Linked DNA regions of Struthio camelus. The protein of the gene in region 2 purifies or fractionates together with the protein of the main gene of each other region. This does not show direct contact. Links are inferred from orthologs where the notes say so. Each region holds a gene or a part of one and is shown on either strand. Other genes may lie near its edges.

What was found.
Region 1: the proteins of CDC5L (region 2) and CWC15 purify together in Homo sapiens (affinity purification with mass spectrometry; 4 studies listed by BioGRID and IntAct, with this or other methods). This does not show direct contact. The link is inferred for Struthio camelus from reciprocal best matches to the Homo sapiens genes CDC5L and CWC15.

What each region holds. Positions count from the first base shown.
Region 1 is NC_090942.1:211,880,019-211,890,326, reverse strand, and holds the start of CWC15 (spliceosome-associated protein CWC15 homolog), read right to left. Parts: upstream 4,156-10,308; 5' UTR 4,147-4,155; coding exon 4,053-4,146; intron 1,428-4,052; coding exon 1,289-1,427; intron 1-1,288. UniProt on the Homo sapiens protein: Involved in pre-mRNA splicing as component of the spliceosome. Component of the PRP19-CDC5L complex that forms an integral part of the spliceosome and is required for activating pre-mRNA splicing.
Region 2 is NC_090944.1:13,115,469-13,126,228, reverse strand, and holds the start of CDC5L (cell division cycle 5-like protein), read right to left. Parts: upstream 4,338-10,760; 5' UTR 4,096-4,337; coding exon 4,051-4,095; intron 1,610-4,050; coding exon 1,506-1,609; intron 592-1,505; coding exon 430-591; intron 1-429. Other genes in the region: zinc finger protein 493-like, read right to left, coding at 8,944-10,760.

The DNA.
Region 1 (10,308 bases), on a different chromosome or scaffold from region 2:
TTCATTTGCTCTTGTAATTAAAAATCTGATTTTGGAATCCCCAGTTAAGCTGCAAAAATCCCCAAAAACTCTGTGTCACTCAGGCAAGCACAAGAGGGCCTGAAATACTGAACCCTTCTTGTAATGATGCAGTCCTGCTATTTAACAAAGGTAATTTTGCATTAGGTACTTGGGAGGAAGAATAAAAGAATCCCCACCCAACCCCCACCAAGTTAAGGTATTTGTTAAAATATAGTTTGTGAATGTGTATGTATGTATATATATACATATATATATAATTTCCCCCCCCCCAACTTCTCTCAAAGCATATGGTGTTCCACACCCCACTTCTGTTTAAAGGGGCACGAGTAATTTTTTCCATAATAATGAATGGGCATTTGATAGCATTTTTTGTGCTACTGATTTTGTATTCTCCAAAACACTAACTCCCTTATCCATATGTATTCTTCAAAATCAATGGGTCTGGAGGGAGCGGTGTAAGGAGGAACATCTGCACATAGAAAGCGTAAACATAAAACCTTAACAGCAGTTTCACTGAAAAGAATAACTTCAGTTGTTTAAAACCATTTCCAGGCTGATGCATCTCCTTTAAATTCTACATGTCTGTATCATAGTGAAATTTAGAGTCAATATATCTTTCAAAATGATAATGAAGATTTATTATGCATTTGAAACAGAGGAGAATATTTACACAAGATTCTATTATCTCTCATACTGATTAAAGCAACTTCCTTTTCTGGTACCTGCATGAAATACTTGTAGCGTTTAACATCAGCCCTTCCAGCATAAGCCAGTGCCCCAATGTTATTCCATTATTTCCCTGCCTCTGGTTAAATCTTTTCACTAGTGGTTCCATGCCAAATACAAGATGTGTTATTCCTGCTTTTAAGATGTGGTCACCTTCACACTTCTTACCCCATCTAGCTTTATAAGTGATAGCATCCTCAATGGCTCAGTTAACTCCCACTGTTCCTAATGCTTTTCTTTTGACTGCACTGCCTGAAATGCTTTGTCTCCAAAGCCTCTTCAGGTTATTCACTTCCATAAACGGTAATAAACACAAGTTAAATTAAACCTCTGCAATTATTTGCAATCCATTCAATCTTCTAAGTCTGCTGTTCAGACTTACAATTGTAGCCCACTCATTTAGCAGTGCTGCACGCTATCTGGTGTCTGCTCAGTGTCAAGCACATGAATATCTATTGTGAAAAACCTCAGAGCAGCTTTTGCAAAAGAAAACCTTCCCCAGCCTGTTTTCCAAGAGCACAGAACGAAAAGCAAAACTTACCTATATTTGATTTTAGTATGAGAAGGAAGATCTCTGCTGGAATATTGTTTGGATAGCTGACTTAAGTCTCCTTCTCCTTTTCCTCGTCCTCCTCTTGCAGGTTCAAACGTTGGCCTTGCTGCTGTGGTCATTTTAATTACTATAGAATCAAACGCAAAAAAGGGTCATTACTACAGCTTATAATGAAAGCCATTCATTAGAAACTACATTGTTCCTGGAACTGTAGCAGCAATGACAAGTCCCACTACCCAAAACAAGCTATCATTTGGCACACGATTGACAGAACCTATTCAGTTTTTCAAAACTGAAAAACTTTTCCAACATGTCTGAAAGTTGAAGCACAGGGAGAATCTGAGGCTTTGTTTTAGAAGTAAATAAAACAGGTCATGAGTTATTCTCTCCCATCCTCCAGGCAAATGGTACAGCACAGGCTGCAGCTACGTAACTTAACTCTTTCTTCTCCCCAGAAATGACAGCCTCATTCATACTGCCTACTGGAAATAGTCCCTCCGTTATCACCCAAACTGTATCCAGCTATCATCACTGCAAGTACTGGTTGACATGGACCACAGTATGTCCAGAATGGTGTTGACAATTAAATTAGGATGGTCACATATCCTGAATGCACTAGCCCTTCTCCTGGCCCTATTTAGGGCAGGCACAGCACTGACATCAACAACGCAGCACAGTTTTTTGGAACTGACTTATGCAGAGCTCCAGGTGACCAGGAAAAAAAAGTTTTTGTTTTAAGTGTGACAGGGTTAATGTTCCTCCGGTAGCAGAAGCCTGACAACTTTACTGTTACATTACAAAAAAAAAAAAAAAAAAAAAAAAGTATTCTAGCTCAGGCAAAGAAGGAAGTTTTCAGCAGCTCTCATTTAGAAACCCACATATCACCAGCACGTCCCTAAAAATGAAAAAACTGAGGCCAAGAATCGCTACTGTAAATTCTCCTGTGGCAAAGGAGTGAAAGAGACTCAAATCAGCCTCTACCACACAAAGACCCTGTCAGCATGCACTGCGTTCAAAACTGCCAGACAGGAGCTGGACACTGCAATCCCACCCCACTACACCAAAATTTTAAGATGGATAACCAATGCAAAAAAACCCTGGATGATCAAACAGCATCATCTCAAATATGTTATCTGCAACTATCCTCACTTCTGATTCACAAAGACATGCACATCCATTAACCACAGACTAAAGATACCTAAGACACAAGAGAGAGACATGCGCAGAAATACATAAAGGCACCAGCCTACCAAGTGGAAGGTTGGATAGTAAAGGACAACAAGAAATTATTTTAAACAATATTAAATAGAAGAAAAAATAAGATACGCTTTTTTGCTATCACAAACAAGGGTAATTTGTTTATGCTGTACCTGCATTTTTGTTCATTTTTCACTTTTAAAGGGCCAGAAAATGCATCACTTCAGTGACAAAAATGTTTTCTAATTTTAACATGAATAGGAACATACCACCACAGAGAACATTATTACTGCCACTGAACTACTATTCAGGACAAAGTTAACAGACACAAATATCTTTAAAAAGCAGTGAGAAGGTAATACTGACATGGTAACTAGCCTTGGCTCATTGACCAACCACTGCAGACACACATCAGTGACAATGGGCAAGTCACCTGGAGCCCAGCAGGCTCTTTTAGGTCTGGCTCAGTGCAGACTCTACCAGACCCATAATCTGAGAAAGCCATTTGCTCTCAAGTCTTATCTGAACCAATTATCAGTAACAGCAGGGATTTATTAGTTCAGAGGCAGAACCAGATCTAGTCTGGCTGTATACTTTCATGAAACACTAAAAAATATTCTGGAACCTGTCCCTGCTCCCCATTGACTCTTTCTGAGGTCAGACTGAGTTTGGCTTGGCCTTAACAGACCTGAACTCAGGGACCTTTGCACTGCACTCTTAAGTTTCAGAAACTCTTAAGTTTCAGAAATACAGCCTACTGAAAAATCCATTTTAGCACTACATGAGGCCAGGACTGGCCAAGCATGGTTTACCAGCTCACTGCTAAGCCAAGAGAAAGTGGCTGGGCTAACTAAGCCTGGAGCTGAACTGCCCCAGCAGTACAGAACGTGCCCGTACAGCACTATGCCTGCGGCTAACAATCCTGCTGAACCCATCCCCACTACATTCACCACAGAGCCTGAACACGAGCACTGGAACTCATAACAGCCCCCAAACCTGAAATCACAACGTAAGAATCTAAAATTTCAGTACGACCAATGCTGCACCATCACTTTGCTCCCTGCCTCTTACACCGCTCTAACTAGGCTTCTGCTTTTTATTTTAAACTCAGTGTTTGAGCTGCACAAAGGAAGGTTATGCCAAATAGTACCGAGGCACGCTGCTCAGAGCTGAACACAGAGACCACTGAACAGCCACCCTTTCACTCTGCCCCCAAATCACCCTCCACCCTTCTCCCCGGGCACTCTCCCTCTTTCCCAACCACAGCCATCCCCCAAATCGCCCCCGCTCTTCTCTCCGGGCCCTCTCCCTCCTGCCCCCCCCCCCCCCCCCCCGCAGCCGCCCCTTCCTCAGGCCCCTTCACGCCGCGGCGCTCCCTGGCCCAGCCGAAGCCCGGCCGCTCCTCTAGCGCACCGGGCCCGGCCCGATCCGGACTGGGCCCCTACCCCCTCCGCTGCCCCAGGGACCGCCCCAGGGACCGCCCCAGGCGCACTCCTGGCCCCTGGCAGGCCATCTCGCCCCCCTCCCCAGCGAGAACCGCGTCTCCCCCACATACTTACACCGCGGCCTCCACCCGCCCTGCGCAAACAAGCCCTACACCACCACCATAATCCCGCCGAGTGCCCACAAGGCACCGCGCGGGAAACCATAGACACACCCAGCGGAAGTCGCCGCAGCTGCTGCTAGAGAACCTACCATAGAGAGGGTCGGCGTAAGGAAAGCGTCTGCCACGTGACCGCGGCGAGCCAAGAGCCCGCCATGATGGCTACCGAGGCGGAAGTGGGCGCCGTGGTGGTAGCCTCGCTGTTGCCTGTGTAGCGATGGTGGTCGCCCCCACCTTACCGCCTCGGCTCAGCGCCCCGGGGCAGATTGGGGTTAGGGGGATTGGGGTTGGGGGTTGAGATGAGGGAGTTGGGGTTAGGGGGTTGAGGTTAGGGGACTGGGGTTGGGGGACTAGGGGGTTGGGGTTAGAGGGTTGAGGTTAGGGGCTTAGGGGGATGGCCTTAAGGGGTTGGAGTTAGAGGGTTAGGGGGTTGGAGGGTTGGGCTTAGGGGGTTGAGGTTAGGGGACTGGGGTTGGGGGGGTTGGGGTTAGAGGGTTGAGGTTGGGGCTTAGGGGGCTGGGGTTAGAGGGTTAGGGGTTGAGGTTAGGGGGTTGTGGTTAGGGGGTGAGGTTGGGGGTTAGGGGGTTGGAGAGTTAGGGTTGGGGTGGGGGGTTGGGGGGCTGGGGAGTCAGGATGGGGGGTTGGGGTTAGAGGGTTGAGGTTGGGGCTTAGGGGGCTGGGGTTAGAGGGTTAGGGGTTGACGTTAGGGGGTTGTGGTTAGGGGGTGAGGTTGGGGGTTAGGGGGTTGGAGAGTTAGGGTTGGGGTGGGGGGTTGGGGGGCTGGGGAGTCAGGATGGGGGGGTGAGGTTGGGAGGGTTGGGGTTAGAAGGTTAGGGGGTTGGGGTTGAGGTTAGGGAGTTGAGGTTGGTGTTAGGGTTAGGGCCAGGGCCAGCCCAGCACCTTGATCCAGCTGCTCTGCAGGAGGATTTGCCTCGCCGTCTCGTTAAAAGGCTGCAGTTTGGGGGTGTGAGTGGAGAGACGCCGTCTCCTCAGCAGCCCTTTCTCTCCTCCCGTCACTGCCGCTTTTAGACGCATCCCGTGGTCAGGCTGCTGGGACTCGCCTGGCGACGTGGGAAGTACCAGGCTACCGACACGCTCGCTTGCCCGGGGAGCTACTCTCCCGCCATGCCAGGCTGGGCTGGGCCAGGCCAGGCCCTCGAGAGGTCCCCGAGGCCGGGCTGCTCGCAGAGCAGCCCACTGGGGCACCCGCCCCAGGCAGCACCCTGGCCCCCTTGGGCAAAGAAACCCCCTGTCCCCTGCTCAGGTTGTGCCAGGGGAGTTTGAAAAGCAGCCGTGTCTCCGTGAGGTGCGTGCCGTTTCCGCTGGGGTTGATGGCAGCAGCTTGGGACGGGGACAAGTGGTTCCTGGATGAGCAGCCTGCCTCTGGGGGCTTGTTCTCTTTGCTGCTTTTGCTTGCCCTGACCGATGAACGACAAGGCACACTGAGAAAGGCGTGTTTATCTGCTTTTCCTGTTGGCAGCCCGTGGATAGTTTCCCGAGAGTTTGTCCCCCTGCACAGGGTCGCTCCCTTCCACCTCCAACTATGCCTTTCCAGGCCCAAGGAAGGGACAGGCTGGCAGCTACCCTTCTGGTGGGCAGCAGAAGAAGGTTTACTAATACTTTCTGATAACGTTAGAGGTTTTACACAGGATATTTTGGGCAGCTTGTCATCAATTTTAGGCTGTGCTCAGCAGTCACGTAAATAGAAGCAGTAATTACTGTGTCACTTCCTAAGAGCTGCGCTTGTCAATAGCCAGGCATCCACTGTTGCATTTTCTTATCTGCAAGCCTCAGTCTGCACCCCGTGAAATGGTTTTACTATTGATTTCACTGCAGGCAGTTTAGAGTCAAGATCAAACCTCTCAGAGGAGTCCAGATTCCCAAGTAGTGAGTCAAGAATTCCGATTGTCAGCTTAGTGCATTATCCTGTGATGATGGATATTATTTTCAGAGTTATTCATAGTTTCATAGCTCAAATGCTGGGATAATCCCTGCTTCGAGTAGATAAAATGATTTTTTAAGGAAAGGAATGACTTAATGTCTTTGACTAGAGTTGTCCTCCGCGACACCAAGGTGCTTCCTTTCCTCTAACTTGGGTGTGTATAGATGTGAAGTACAAACAGACAGGAAAGTGTTTAAGAGTCAAAGGGCTGGATCCTTTAAAGACTTGTGTGCTAAAGTAGGATATTGGTGGAATGGAGGTGCCTAAGTCCAGACTCCTGAAAATCCCTACCTGATCTTGCTGCAAAGGCTGTGGAAGCATCTAACCTTCACAGGTCCACAACTTTTGATTTTAAAGATCTCCAGACGTAAAGAGTTTTGTCCAGTGTTAAACTCCTTTGGTCTAAGAAGTTTAGCATCCTGCTCACAGTGAGACTTGATAGGATCCAGAAACAAGATATTCCCTAGCTCAAGTGCTCAGAGAGCTTTCATCCAGTAACTATTCTCAGACCATGTCCAGCACTCGTGGATACCATGATCAGCCTCTCAGTATGACAAAAAATATATCTTTGGTCAGTGTTTTTTTTTTTTTTTTTTAATAGTACTGTTGGTAGGAGAGCCAACTACTTTTATGTGATAGTTTAGTGGTTACAGTGCTCACCTGTGGAGCGGGAGTTCCAGGTCCGTTTCCCTCCCCAGCCTTCTGCTACCTTAAAGAAGAGGCTCACAGCCACCAGTCACAAAGATTTTGGTTAATGTCCTGCTCCCATCATTCAGCTTTTCTGTACAACCTTAAGAGTGTTAAACCCCTCACTGACCTCTTGTTCTAAACCTCCTTTGCTCCTGGAGTTGTATCTTCAGTGAGGAAGGCTGTGCGAGCAGCAGTCATATTTCAGAGGACTTGGTCAGAGTTGCCTCATTGCCTGGCCAGTTTTCTGCAGCCCCTCAAGATGTGAGTGCATGTTAGGATCTGCTCACACTTCTGCTGTGGCTTACCCTTTATTCTCACACTGGCTGGTCCCTGCCTATGTGGAGATGCCCAAAATAATTGCACCTTTGCTGAAAAGCAAAGCTCCTCTTGCATTTCCCTACCACGTCTGGGCTTGTACATGAAGAAGCAGTATGCTTTGCCCGAATCGTTGGGACAGCCAAGGTGGCATAGCCCCTATCTCACTCAGCTTGGCACTGCACACAGGAAGGGACGGAGGGAAGGGAGGCAGCCTCAGGGCCGTTCTCCTCTCATAACTCCTTTTCCTTCAGGGTCTGTCCCTGTCCCCAGTACGGCTGACCTCGCATTTGGAGAACCGTTGCCCCAGCAGTCATCCAGCCTCAGATGGCTTTGGTATTTAGGCACACTCTACCGCTTTTTGAAGCTGCTCCACTGAGCAGAAAGGAATTAAAGATTAATTGAGAGAGTGTGTGTGTGACAGGGAGCACCAGTCAACTCTCATATGCGAATGCAAGTTCCTGGATCCCAGGCCCTGTTTCTACGATTTTACATTAAAGCATGATCAGATAAAATAAACAACCAGATAAGGACAAAAACTCAGGTCTTCCCCCTTCCCACGGTAGCTGTAAGAACAGAACAGGTCTAGGCAAAGAGTGCTTTCTTCCTGTGGCACGATGAGCCTTGGATCCCTTTGCACACAGTAGCCTGTAGCTGGCACCATGGATGCACCTTCAGTTTGAGCAGTTTGGCTGTGGCACGTCTTAGAGAGGTATTCTGTACTTCATGGAAACACGAAAAGCAGGAGAATGCACCGCTTCCCTTGAGAATGTCCTCCAGGAGTTAATTATCCTCATGGCTCAAAAATGCACCTTATTTTTAATTCCGTTTTATCTGGCTTTACTCCCAACCACTGGTGCCTGCTATGCCTTTCTCTGCTGATTTAAAAAGGCCATTTTCTCACTAGGTATTTATACTTTGTAATGTAGTCTTGCAACTGTCGTTGGATAGAGTAAGCAGACTGGACTCTTCTAGTCTCTTAGAAGCATTTCCTTCCTCTCACCAATTATTTGAAGGTTCTTTCCTGCACTCTCTCCAATTTATCCACATTAGAAATATAAGAAGTATTTCAACATCAGTCCCAGTAGTGTTGGCTAGAGAGATTAGATCACTTTCCTCCCTCAGCTTTCTGCACAGTTGTTTATATATGTAAGGATCTCGTTGGCCTTTTCCTCACACCCTCCACTACACTGGGTGCTCAAGGTCAGAGGCATGTCCATGGTGATTCTTAAATCCTTCTCAAAGTCGTTGTTTTCTGAATTAGAAAGTTCTGTGTGACCTTTGTTCCTAGATGAATTCCTGGTTGTTTCAAATGTATCTGGCTTGAAAAGAAATCCCTTGCTGGTGTCACTTGCACAGCCTCTTAGTTGCCATCTGGAATTCTTTATGGTACCTGTAGTTTTTCTCAGTGCGATTTCATATTGGCCTCAGGATCATTGCTACAAACGGGACAGCGGAGACCACAGGATCCCTGTGGGGTCCTGTTAGAAAACCCTGTTAAGTGACTGCTTTTTGAGATGTCTCTAGTTCTAATTCATTCAGAAGGGGGTATTAGACACACTGCATAGTACCCACTTTGCAATCAGAATGATGCTCACTGCAAGTGAAACATTTTGTGAACTCTCAATTCATTACATTTACACAGTTACTTTATCAACTAAACTCATGCTCCTATTGAAGAATGACATTCATTCCCACAATATCCACATTCTTCTAGTCTCTGGAGTTTCCACAGTATTCAAAGTTTATTAAATACTAACACTAGGAGACCAATGTTCTTGAGTTATCTCATTCAGTACGCTAGGATGCCTGTACTTTTGCAAATGTGAATCTCTCCTAAATGCTGATCCTTCTTTGAGGTTATCGAATACCTTACTTCCTAAAAGAGAATAAAAACATTTATAGACTTCTGCTTGTTTGGGTCGTTGTTAATGTTTTTCTCATCTGCTTCTTGGCCTATAACTGGTCCATAAAGATTTCTTGTGTTCCTAATGTACTTTAAAAACTGCCTTTTATTGTCTTTAGCCTTGCCAATACAGGGATTTTTTTCCTGCTTCCTGTGTCCTTTTTCTGTTCTTTAAAGCTCCTCGTATGTACTTTTCACTATCTATTTCCCCTTTCTTCCATTTGTAATTTTACTCATATTTTTAATTGCTGATTTTCACTGATAGTTCCTGAATCAGAATGGGATTTTAGCCAGGGCAGTTTTCTTTCCTGAATTCTTGGGTCTCCTGAACACTGCGGACTGTGAGATCATCTTCTGCCCACCCTTAGAGTGCAGAACCAGGGCATGCAATCTGTTCTTTCAAAGCAGCGTAACACCATGAAGAGCATGTGGGCGTTTTTCCTGAGCAGGGTGGAGAGTCCATGCCAGAATGGAAATCTCTGAGCTTGAATTTTCCCCTTGCCTCCCTTCCTGAGAGAGCCAGTCTTTTGCCAAACAGGGCATAGCTTGCACAGACTGAGCAGGAAAAAAATTCCCTTTCTGCCTAGGAGAGGCCACAGCACTGATTTCCCCCCTTGGGACGCCCTGTGCTTTGAAGGATGGGGCTTCCCACTGGGTTGCAGGCATCGAAGGAAGGGCATAGGGGATCGTCATGGGTGGTGGCTTAGTGCAGGAATGCTCAGAATCCAAACTACGGCCTTGAAATAAGTTTGTGGGAAGTTGCTGCTTCCTTGATTGGGAAAGGAACAGAGGTCTGGCAAGGCTCTGACTCAGCCCGTGAGTCAGCGCACTGCTGCTTTCCTATGAGGCCATCTTGCACAGTTAGCTCTCCGTCACACCCTCTCTGCTGCTCTGGTGCAGTAAAAAGCGTGTGCTGCTTCTTCTCAGCTAAATGTACAAAGTTGTCCCGACTCTTAACCTCTTCCCTGCTGACTTCCACCACACTGTCTGTTCGACTTTTTGCTTCTGTGTTCAGTCGCATCCCCTGGATTGCCATCTTCCTGTATTCCTTCAAAGCTCCACTTCAGGGTGGGTATAGGAGGCATTAACTCCTGCTTTACAATGAGGGAGAGATCTTGTAACCTATCCACACCAGAGGGAAAATCCCAGGAGTCAGTGGGAATTGACTGCAAGGAAAGGCACAGGATAAGGACCTGATCTAGATGCCTGGCCCGGGTTGTGATGACCTTCCTCTAACACTGCAGGTTGTGGTCAATGTCTGGCAAAAGCCAGACATTAGATGGCCTGGACCAGCGTTGCAAAACTGCACTTGCCACATGCTGTTCCACATTCCTGTTTACCTTGTCTGACAGATG
Region 2 (10,760 bases):
AGAAATCAAGCAGTGTGACAGCATGAATACTCAAGAGTTTCCCGTTATGCTTTTAAATACTACCAATCACATCAGAACTAAAAAAGCTCACAAAAGAAGACAGTACTTTCCTTCTCTTCTCCTGCCCCAAAGAAACTCTCTGCATTGTACTAAGATAATGGCTGCACATTCAGACATTCCAATAATGTCTTTTCTGTCTTTTTTCCTGTCTTTGTCTGTCTGTCATACATACACACACACACACACTCACGCTGATCAGCCAGTCAAAAAAACTCCCAAGTGAACCAAAAATGGAAGGATTGCTTACAAAAGACCTCAGCCAACTTGAAACCACTGTACTGCAGCATCCTGGGAGAAGAGAATGACACAGCAATACAACAAACTGCACAGATTTTCCTGTTATGCACCTCTAGCAGAACAGTAACTCACAGCAGAAATTCATAGTGTTCCAAACACTGTGCAGCAGTTCTTCCAATAATTGGGGCAATGGTTCTCCACTGGGTGGGCATCAGCTTTGCCAGGTGTAAGAGTTTCTCCTCTTCTTCCCGTGACCACTCTGTCTTTTTGATGCTTGGGTCTAGCCACTCGTACCTGTTAAAAAGTTCAATAGTTAAGAGGGACAGTTGCAAGCTATCCATTGATCTATCTTAAATTAACTTATAACAGTGTTTTTGAGCATCACTACAATAAGATTTCGTAATCTTGACACATATACATATTTAAGACTTTTTTTGGTATAAAAGGATGTTACTACAACGTACTTTCATGATATAAGTATTTGAACTTTAAAACGTATTATTAACCCACCACTTTTCCTACAGATACTGCCTCTTCCTCCATTCCTTTTCTCTCTTCTGACAAAGCAGAGTCACAAAATTAACTCGGAAAAAGAAAGGTAAGACTCACAAAAACCAAAGTTACCAAAAATGGTAGACTTGTTTGGTCTGGATCCTTCTAAGAGTTGTCTTATTTATCTTTAACTGTGTCAGTACTGTTACCTTTACGCAGAAACATTCTGAGAAGTATGTGCAGCTCAATACTTGAGAAACTAAGTCTGATCCTTAAGTGGATTCATGCTGCATTATTTGCATCGCTTTTATGCTACCATTTTTGATGTAACTTGAAATATGGCAGTGTAATTTCTAAATATTGATCCTCATGCCAAACTCATCAAAAAAATAGAAAATTATCTGTAAATAATTATTTGACAATTATACTTCATTGAAAGCAGTTCTTTTGATTTAAAACACCTGTAAATACAGAAGAAAAATTATGTATGTAAATTCGGTGATTCTGTACTTGAGGACACTGCCATCACTTGCAAAGTGAACGCTTGGCTATTTTTCTTCATATTCCTTTTAAGCAATAGGAATTTGCAATAACCACAGAAATGGAACTCAAACTAAAATCACTGTTCCTCTATGGGCATAAATCAATCTTCAGTAACTTCTAAATTCACAGTAACTATGAATTTCATATTCCCAGTCATGGTATTTCTCACTTACCATCTGGCTTTGCACTGCTTTGCTGATTTCCTATGCAATAAAGAAGCAATACGAGACCACTGGTTTTTGCCATATTTCATCACAGCTGCTTTCAGAATTTCATCCTTAAAACAGAAATTATGTATATTGTTATGGATCACCAAAACTCGCAAAGCGGAAAGACTCAGCTGAAGCAGAAGAGAATGCAGTAAGTTTCATAAAAAGGGCTGACCCACTAGAAACGACAAAGCACTACTGCTTCTTTTCCACATTTTATTTCAAGATGCATGAGAATTTGTATTCCAAAACCCACTGAAATTGATAGAGACTGAATGAAAAAGACTAGGAATGATCACTGCGGCCTACTTCGCAGGCTTGACAGAACTTTCAAAATTAATAGTTTCAACGTTCTTACGCATGCAGTTTTTGATGGTTCTGTAGGTCTTTTTCAAAGAATAGTAATAAAGAGGCAGGGAGGTGTTTATCTGTTTGACAGTGATAGAACATTAAAAAAAAAATTAGGATAGATCCTCTGAGGTGGCTTGTTTTAAATAACGCCCTGAAGTGGGTTTTTTTGCAAGTTTTAATGCAAACCTGTGTTGCGATGGAATATTCACCTATAAATGGAAAAAGCTGTTAAAAAAATACACCACAAAATATGAAGTTCCTCTATTCTAAATAAATCCTAAAATAAACCACTGAAATGTTTAGAATGCTACATCCAGAAATGCTGATCCGAAAGCTTACAAGCTTATGGGGAAAAATACGTAATGGATTCAGTTAGGATTACCTCAGCTTGGAGGCCAGGCTGTTCATATATATCAAACTATACACATAGAGATATGATCAAAAGCTAAAAATTGTAATTATTGCCTTGTCAACCCATCCATCCATTCCTCTCTCCCTTTCTCCACAAAAACGGCTTCATTATTTCTGGTCTCCCCACAATTCAGAAAATGGTATTTTAAATACTTCACAGCTATTCTTTATAGCCTTGTCAACCACGAATGTTATTCTATATCCAATAAGATCACGTAGTTTGCTCAGAATCTGTTTGGCTGCACAGTGCAGATGCTAGTCGTCAGTGACAGACTCGCTGTCTAGCGCGGACAGTTCCCACAGCGCACAGCAGCTTCAACTGCAAACTAATGAGCTTCAGCTTGAGATGCTACAGGAAGCAGTTCATATAATCTCTATTAAAAAAGCCCCAAATTTCCATAAATCCTCTCTCGGTTTCTGAATTCTACTCACTGTCAAATCGCATGCAGTAGCCATACTGATGACAATAGCAGACCGATTTGCCAGTAATCGGTCATTTTTTTGACCGTCAATTAGTTCCGCTTTTTGTATTTTTTAATGTTGTACATTCACATTACATTAATCATAAAAATAGCAGTAAATACAAGAGCTTTCTATTTCATCTCTGATATACAAAAGCGGGTGAAACAACGATCCATTTAACCCACTGCTGTTTCTCTAACAGTTGCCAAAATTCATCAGCTATGGAAGATGATAAGAACAGCACACGTACACAGCAGTACTTCTTTTCCTCCACTGACCTGCAACTCAACAGCCTCCTGATGCAGAGCTGCTATATAGCATAGGTGTTTAAGAGAACATAGGACATTTATCTTCCATTAATTTTTCTTACTGCTCTTTGAAACTATGTAAATACTTAGTGTCCACAGTATACAGTAGCAGAGTTCTACAGTTTACTGTGTAAGTAAGTAAGTAAGTAAGTATCTCCTTTGCTTTGAACCTGGCACCTAGCGAAATTAATCTGAAATCTCTAATTCTTGCACTATTGTTTTCTTTTTCACTATTATTTATAGTTCTGAAAGAAACGTGAGGGCAAAAACAGGGTAGAGATCATCTTCTTTTCTTTAGACACAGGGAAACATTTGTGCATTCAAACTCCGGCCAACACAGATTCTTCTGCCCAAAACACTCTGGGCTGCAGATGAAGAGCCCATACCTATCTTCAGCTTTTCTGCATTAGGAAGGGTCTCCAAGAGGAACGAACTCCAGCTCTTTCATATCCCAAGTGAGTAAGAACCCTGCCCATGCAGTACAGGACAAGTTCCAACCTAGAAAAGCGACACCTCCGAGCAGGGCGAGGTGCAGGTGGATCCACGGAGAAGCTCGAGTTGCTGCGGGGGCGGTTTCTGCGTGCCAGGAGCTACGCATGGCCGAGCTTCCTCCCCCCCCCCCCCAAACACATGACCCCCAGGAGAAACAGCACTGAATCGACCTCTGCCGACCAGGCCAGGGGACGAACAGGGGGGTCCAGTCTGCAGGGGAAGCAAGCCTACCAGAGCCGCGGTACTTCTAAAGCCCTAACCCTTTATTCCCCCGCTAGAGAGGAATAAGGAAGACCCCAAACTCCCATCCCCGCCGTGGAGGCAAACGACCCTACTACGGAAGCCCCTCCACGCATGCGCGCCACGACCGCTCCCACAGCGCTTGCGCACTAATGTAGGGTGACCCCCCCCCCTTCCCCCTCCCCCGCAATCCCGGAGGAGGCCCCAACCCGGGGGGGAGGATATTAAAGCGAACCGGCTCCTACCTCGGTGTTCCGCCACACACCGCCTTTAATCATAATCCGCGGCATCTTGGCGGCGAAGGGGTACCAAGCTCGGCAGAGGAAAAAGGGGTGAAAGCACGGAAACGCCGCTCGTCACAGCCGGGCCGGCCGAGACGCGGCGCAGGCGCTGTCCGCGGAAAGGCGCGCGCTCGGCGCAGGCGCAAAGGGGAGGCCGTAACGGCTGCGCGGGGGGGGGGGGGGGAGGAGGGGACGGCACCGTTCGCGCACGCGCAACGGGGACGACGCCAGGCTTGGGGCTCTGCGCAGGCGCCAAGCCCAGGGCGGCAGAGCCGTCTGGGCGGGGCTCGAGGGCGTGGCCAGGAGAGGGGGCGTGGCCGCCCGGGGGCTGCTTCGAAGAGGCGGAACAAAACTCCATGCGGCGAAAAGGCTTGGGGTTTTTTTTAACCTTTTTTTTTTTTTAATCTGATCATTTTTTTCTGTCCTCTGCTGTGTAAGATTTCACCAGTCTTACTTTTACAATGTGTTTTGCTAAAGTATCTTGGAAAAAAAAAAATCCACATTAACACAAGGCAGCCCGAGTGAAAATTGGAACACTGATGTCCAGATTTTAAGAGTTACTTAAATCTTACATTTCAGGCCCCTGCACCTCTTCACCCGTCCTTTTTCTGTTATCATTGTTTATTGAACTCTTATGTATTGCAGTCTTCACTGCAAAGCTTCCTTACTGTTTACATAAGGTTTCAGATCTTCCGTTCCAATAATCAGAAAAACAAAACCAAACCAAAAAAAAAAACCTGAGGCTGAACTTCCCTATTAGGCACTAATGAACCAAGTTGCTAGTATGCTTCCCATCCTAATCAACTTGTTGACATTGTCTAATCCACTGTTCCTGCAGCTGTTACTGTTACTAAACAAAAAAAAAAAGGCAGCTGGGCTTTCAGCCCTATTTCACAGGATTACGGATCTAAACCTCGCAGAAGCCAGGCTTCAGAAAAGAATCCCCCTCTCTCCTTTTGATACCCCAATCATATGCATAGTCTGGATTCTTGCCTTTGAGAAGCAATTCTTGTCTGCTAGGTCAAGATCGCATTAGGCTGAAAGGCTGGAGATGTTGTAGAAATAGTTTGACGCTAGGTTTCCAAGGAGCAGAGTCTCACACACGTACAACAGCAAAATCATTTAATTAAAGGATGGTATGACAGGGCAACAGCTCGAGCTGGGTGCCTCTGGGGATGGACCCAGAACAAAAGAATACTTAAGTAATTATACTTTTTACAGTTTTATTTTCCCATCTGCCAGTGATAGTCTCTTCCAATCTTCTTTGCTGAGTCGGTGGTCTCTTTCCCTCTGATTGGTTCACATCTACATCCCGGGACGGCTGCTGTGTTCCTGCACCTTATCTTATCCAAAGGTCAGCTGTTACCTCTGGTCACTCTGTGCCCTTGAGGGCTGGTTTTAGCTTACTTTGCAGTCACGTTGCCAGCAATGCTCTTTGGGTTACAGTTCAGTCCCGCGGCCTGCAGGCTTCACCTGCTTTAGGCGCTTATGCTAAGCTGAAGCTAAGTCGGCTGCAATTCCCTTCTCTAATAGGAGAGCCCTCAGCAAGTTAGCCTACAGTTATGGGAACAAAATGAGCTCTTTATTTAACTGCTCTATCTCCTGGCCGAGTCCTTTAAGGAGAGAACCGAATGAACAACAAGCTTCCTTCTCCCCTCCTCCTGCACAAGTTTCTCCTTTGCCAAGACTGTACAAGCCTTCCTTAATGCTATATTCGATTTATAAACTAGACACACGCCTTTAAAGCTGGATAGCAAAAGTTTTTTCTTACACACACAAACCACCCCCCCCCCCCATCTTTACTGCAAAGTGTAAGGGAAGTTGAGGAATGCCTATTTCTTATCTCTATGCCCTCATATCCAAAAGGCCTCTGGTATGTGAGGCAATAGAAAGAAGCATACATTATCTGGTCCACAAAGACTCCTTCAAAAGTATTTTTTTTTAAACACACTTTTCTGTGTATTTTCTTCTCTCAGTTCACCCACAATTTTAAAAGCCCAAGTGAAAGCTTTATTACTAAAATTTAGTAATTTTCTCTCCCCTAGGGACACTGGATTGAGCCTGAGGAAAACAGCATGGGACAGTTTTTACTTTCCAAGCTAAAAAAAAAAAAAAAAAAAAAACGTTATTTCCTTCCATGTGCTGTATATAAAACTGGTTACAAGTATTGCAGCATGGTCTAACTCACCTATATTCATTTATTTCACCTCAAGTTTAACTTTATTATTCACTTGTTTAGAAGACATGGAGCAGATAAAATGATCTCCATATATTTGCTCAAGGAGATGGGTCACTAATGCTATTGCATTTTACTGTTTTATCCAAATTCAGGATGTGTTAATTAAAAAAAAATCACCAAGATAATGTTTTGGTTCAAGTAAAAGATATCATAGTATGATTTAGAAAAGACTTTGCTTCTTGCTAAAACTCTGCAAGGACAAAAATATTACACCTTTGATTTTTATTTTTTTGCTCGTTAGAAATAGCCAATGCCCTTATTTTAAAGTAGATATGCATTTACGTTTAAATTTAGGTTTACTTTAGGTTTAAACTTCTAATTCTATGAAGGACAGTGCATTTGCACTAGGAAAGAATTAAGGACAGAGGGGAACCTCATGAGTCTTTTTTTTTTGTTTTTGTTTTTTTTTTTAAATTAGAGGTAGCCACCTAAAAAGTTATTTTTACAAACTTATCAAGCTCCATCTGAGAATGTCTTCTGTTCTCCTTACTTGCCACTAAAAGAAATTTCCAGTGTTTACTGTGTGTCCTGTCTGATTTAATTCACAGTGTATTTATCCCTTAACGGAGAAAAGGGGAGCTCAGTTTATTTAAAACATACTTATAAACAGGTAATTATTCCTTATCAGATTTTGTTTTCATAGTTTCACCTGATGCACAGAATTTCAATTCTGTCATCATTTTTGTATCTCTTCTTTGCACCTGTTCTTTTTTTATTTTCTTCAAATACGCTGTCAGAATTCCAGAGAAATTCAAATAAAGTCAACCATGGTTGCATAATAGTGTTAATATTTCCCAGAAACGCTTTGCCACATTCATGCTAAGCTAACTTACTTCTCACAGCTGTAACCAATTGTTAGTTCAGTCATTCTAAGATCAGAATCTTTCTTCTTGCATTTCCAAATGGTGACTTCCCAGCTTATAGTAAAAATATCTGTAACATCACTAAGGTTCATGGTCACAAACATTTAATTGCCTGATTTTACTGAAATCAAAGAGAACTAGATCATTTAAATTCCTTTGTTGATCTAGCCTTAGGTGCATGCACCCACTGATAAGTTTCAGTCCACTCTTCTTGCAAATTGCTTTTCTACTTTGCCAAAGAGCCTCTCCAAGGTATCACCTATATTAACAAAGAAAAGCATAAATTTGAGAGCAGTAACATAGCAGTAGTAGTTCATGGTAACATTCTCTAAATTAAGCTTCAGGCTTACTCTGTTGTTTCATGGACTGAACTATAACATGAAAAGGGTAATTAGTATCAATCCTTTGCCATTATCTTTTTTTCCCCCCACACAAGATAGCACTGCTGTTATAAATACCATTGAACATATAGTTAGCGGCTTCCATACAGTCTCTAGCGCTGTATAACTCAAAGCAAGCTTGACTACAAAGTGGAAGAAACATCCATCTCATTCAGTCTTCACCATAATGTATTTCTATTAAATAACTACAGTTTGATATATGTCATTATACATGTCATTTCAGAGGCAGAATAAATCTCTCATATTAACAAGCAAGTTTGACAGTTCAAGATATTGCTGAAGTTTTCAATGCAATCCAAGAAGTATTTGCAATATGTAAGGAAGTGCCTAAATTAACAGAAATATTGTTTCTCAAAAGAGATGCTATGATTTTTTTTTCCCGCAAGGAGCACCGTAACTGCATTTAGCAACCTGAGAAAAGATAAGGCATTTCATACTAGATTAATATCAGGCATCTAAATAAAATTCATAAAGATGGATTTGAAGTTTCTCAGTATCTCACAAGATCTGATTACATTACCATTTCTGTCAGACTACTCAAAGAATTATCAGGGATAATTACAGACAAGATTAAGTGCCTAACAACCTTTTCATATATACATATATATATATATATACATAAAAGACTTTCATATCCCAATTATCCAGTGATTACATGAATCTGTTTCAGTAATATTGTGAAACACTTCTAATCCGTTCTCTTGCAGTTGTTGCAAGAGAACCTTACAGGAGGGAATGCAAGTTTCAGCAGACAGGAGGGAACATTAAGCCTCCAACCACATTGACAATTTTTAATTCGAAAGTTACTACTTCGCAACGTAAAACACACTCCCCTCCCTTTAAACATTCTTTCAGCTAAACAAGACTCCAGTTTAGCTACCAAAAAAAAAAAAAAGGTGAAATAGAATAAGATAACCCTTCTATGAGGGTGTTTCAACTGATGAGCATAGGGCAAAACGTAGCTCCGACCTTAGAGAACAGAAAAAGTGCTCAAGCATGAAAACGTGCCTTCAAGAACTTCTTTAGCACATCCTTTGCCGGAACCAAAGCTCTCAGAAGAGCCAGGAGCAAGACAATCTCGATTTTATTCTCTGGACCAAAAAGACTAGATGCACCCACTATCAGCTATCATTCTGGGGACAGCACATGAACACAAAACAATGAATAAATTCAAAACATGTACAGCTCTACAGAACTGAGACCTTGCTTGCAAAATCCATGCTTATGTTCCAGCTTTTAAATGTTGCCATTTATGCTTTTCCAGAAGCTTTTTGGTAGAAAACGTGACATCACATTTTTTGCACTTTGTACATTTTAACCTTTGTGCGTTTTTACATGCTTTTGCGTAGCATATCTATCTATCGTAAAAGTCACACCTTTTGCAGTGTAACTTTAAATGAGTTAGCAAGTGGCGCTTCAGGTGGCTAGATGTGCGGAATGAAACAGTACACTGACTACACTTGAATGGCTTCTCCCCTGTATGAATTCTCAAGTGCTGCTTAAAGTTTCCATTATGGACTGTGGTATAGCCGCACTCTTCACATGTGTATGTTTTGACAGGTAGTGCTTTTTGTTCATAGAGACTGCCAGTAGATGAGATTTCCTTATCAGAGTGTGAAGCCAGATGCTGTTTCAAGGATAGCCATTTGTCTGTTGAATAGTCACAGTTCCTGCATTTGAGATGCTCTGCATTAAAATGCATGACCTTGTGTCGTTTCAGGTGACTGGAAGTACGAAACTTCTTCTGACAAACACTGCAGCTGTAAGGTTTCTCACCTGTATGAGTTCTTACATGCAGCTTAAGGTTGCTTAAAATGTAAGTAGTGTACTCGCACTCTGCACACTTATAGAACCGCGGCTGACTTTGTGCTGCTAAATCACTTTCTTTGTTCCTCTGGACATCTGTCTGTTCTCCACATGCTTCCGAACAAAGCAAGGAATGGACACTGCTCAAACGTTCCGAAGAACCAAAATCTCTTTCTGGACACACGCCTACATGCATTTCACGGTGCAATTCAAGATCCTCTAAATGGCTATCTACACAGAGGCAATGGTCAAACTCATATTGATTCTTCACATGAAGACAGTTGTGTCTCTGCAAATGGCTTAAAGTTCTAAATGTTTTATTGCATTCTTTACACCCCAATGGTCTTTCATGTCTATGTATTCTTAGGTGCAGCTTAAGGTTGCTATAAACAGCAGTAGCATAATCACACTGTTTACACTTGTACATTCTGAATGAAGACAAACTGGAAGGCCATGTATCCTTAAACTTTTCCACAAATTTATGGTCTGTATCATCTTCATTATCATCTCGAACTTGTGAATGAGTGGCCTCAGGGCTGAAGAGAGGTTCCTCTTTGCAAATCACAGTGCCTGTTGTGCATGAGTCTGGAAGAACTTCCGATCCATTCTCAACAACCGGCAAACTGTTGCTTCCATAGCTGTTTTCAGGGAATTTCTCTCCAGAGCACATTTTCTTATTGTCCCACATGTCACCTGCCTGCCTAAAGTCTAATTCTGAAACCAGCATTTTACACATTCCCCCAGCTGGATGATCGTCTTCTTTGTCAGAAAGAGGTAGAGAAACACAGTCCCGGGAATCACTGTCAATTTCATATATTTTGCTTTCATGGTATTCATTACTCTGATCCATATAACCATTAGCAGCAGCCTTAAGCTGCTCATGAAATTTCTTATGAAAGCTGAGATGCCCCCTAGTATAAAACACTATGTTACACTCATCACATGTGTAACTCTTTAAAGGTCTTTGGGTTCTTTTTCTTCCACTTACAAATTCAACGAGTTGCTGCCCTTGGCATGTTTCCTCGCCAGTGTGTAATCTTCGGTGTCTCTTTAATCCACTGGTGCTTGTGAATGCTGATTGGCAGAACTCACAGGTATATGGCTTAGCCCCTGTATGGATATAGCTATGCCTTACCATGCTTGCAAAATACAATGAAAAAAAGGTGCAGAACCTGCACTTGTACAGCTTATATCCAGCATGCCAGTACATGTGATTTAACATATAGGATAAGCTAATGCAGGAATAATCACACTGAGGACACTGGTAAGGTGGTCTCTCTTTATGTCCCTTCATATGATGGATAAAAATCCTAGGACTTGATGAAGCAAAGAAACAAATTTTGCAGGAAAAAATAACAGGAACAC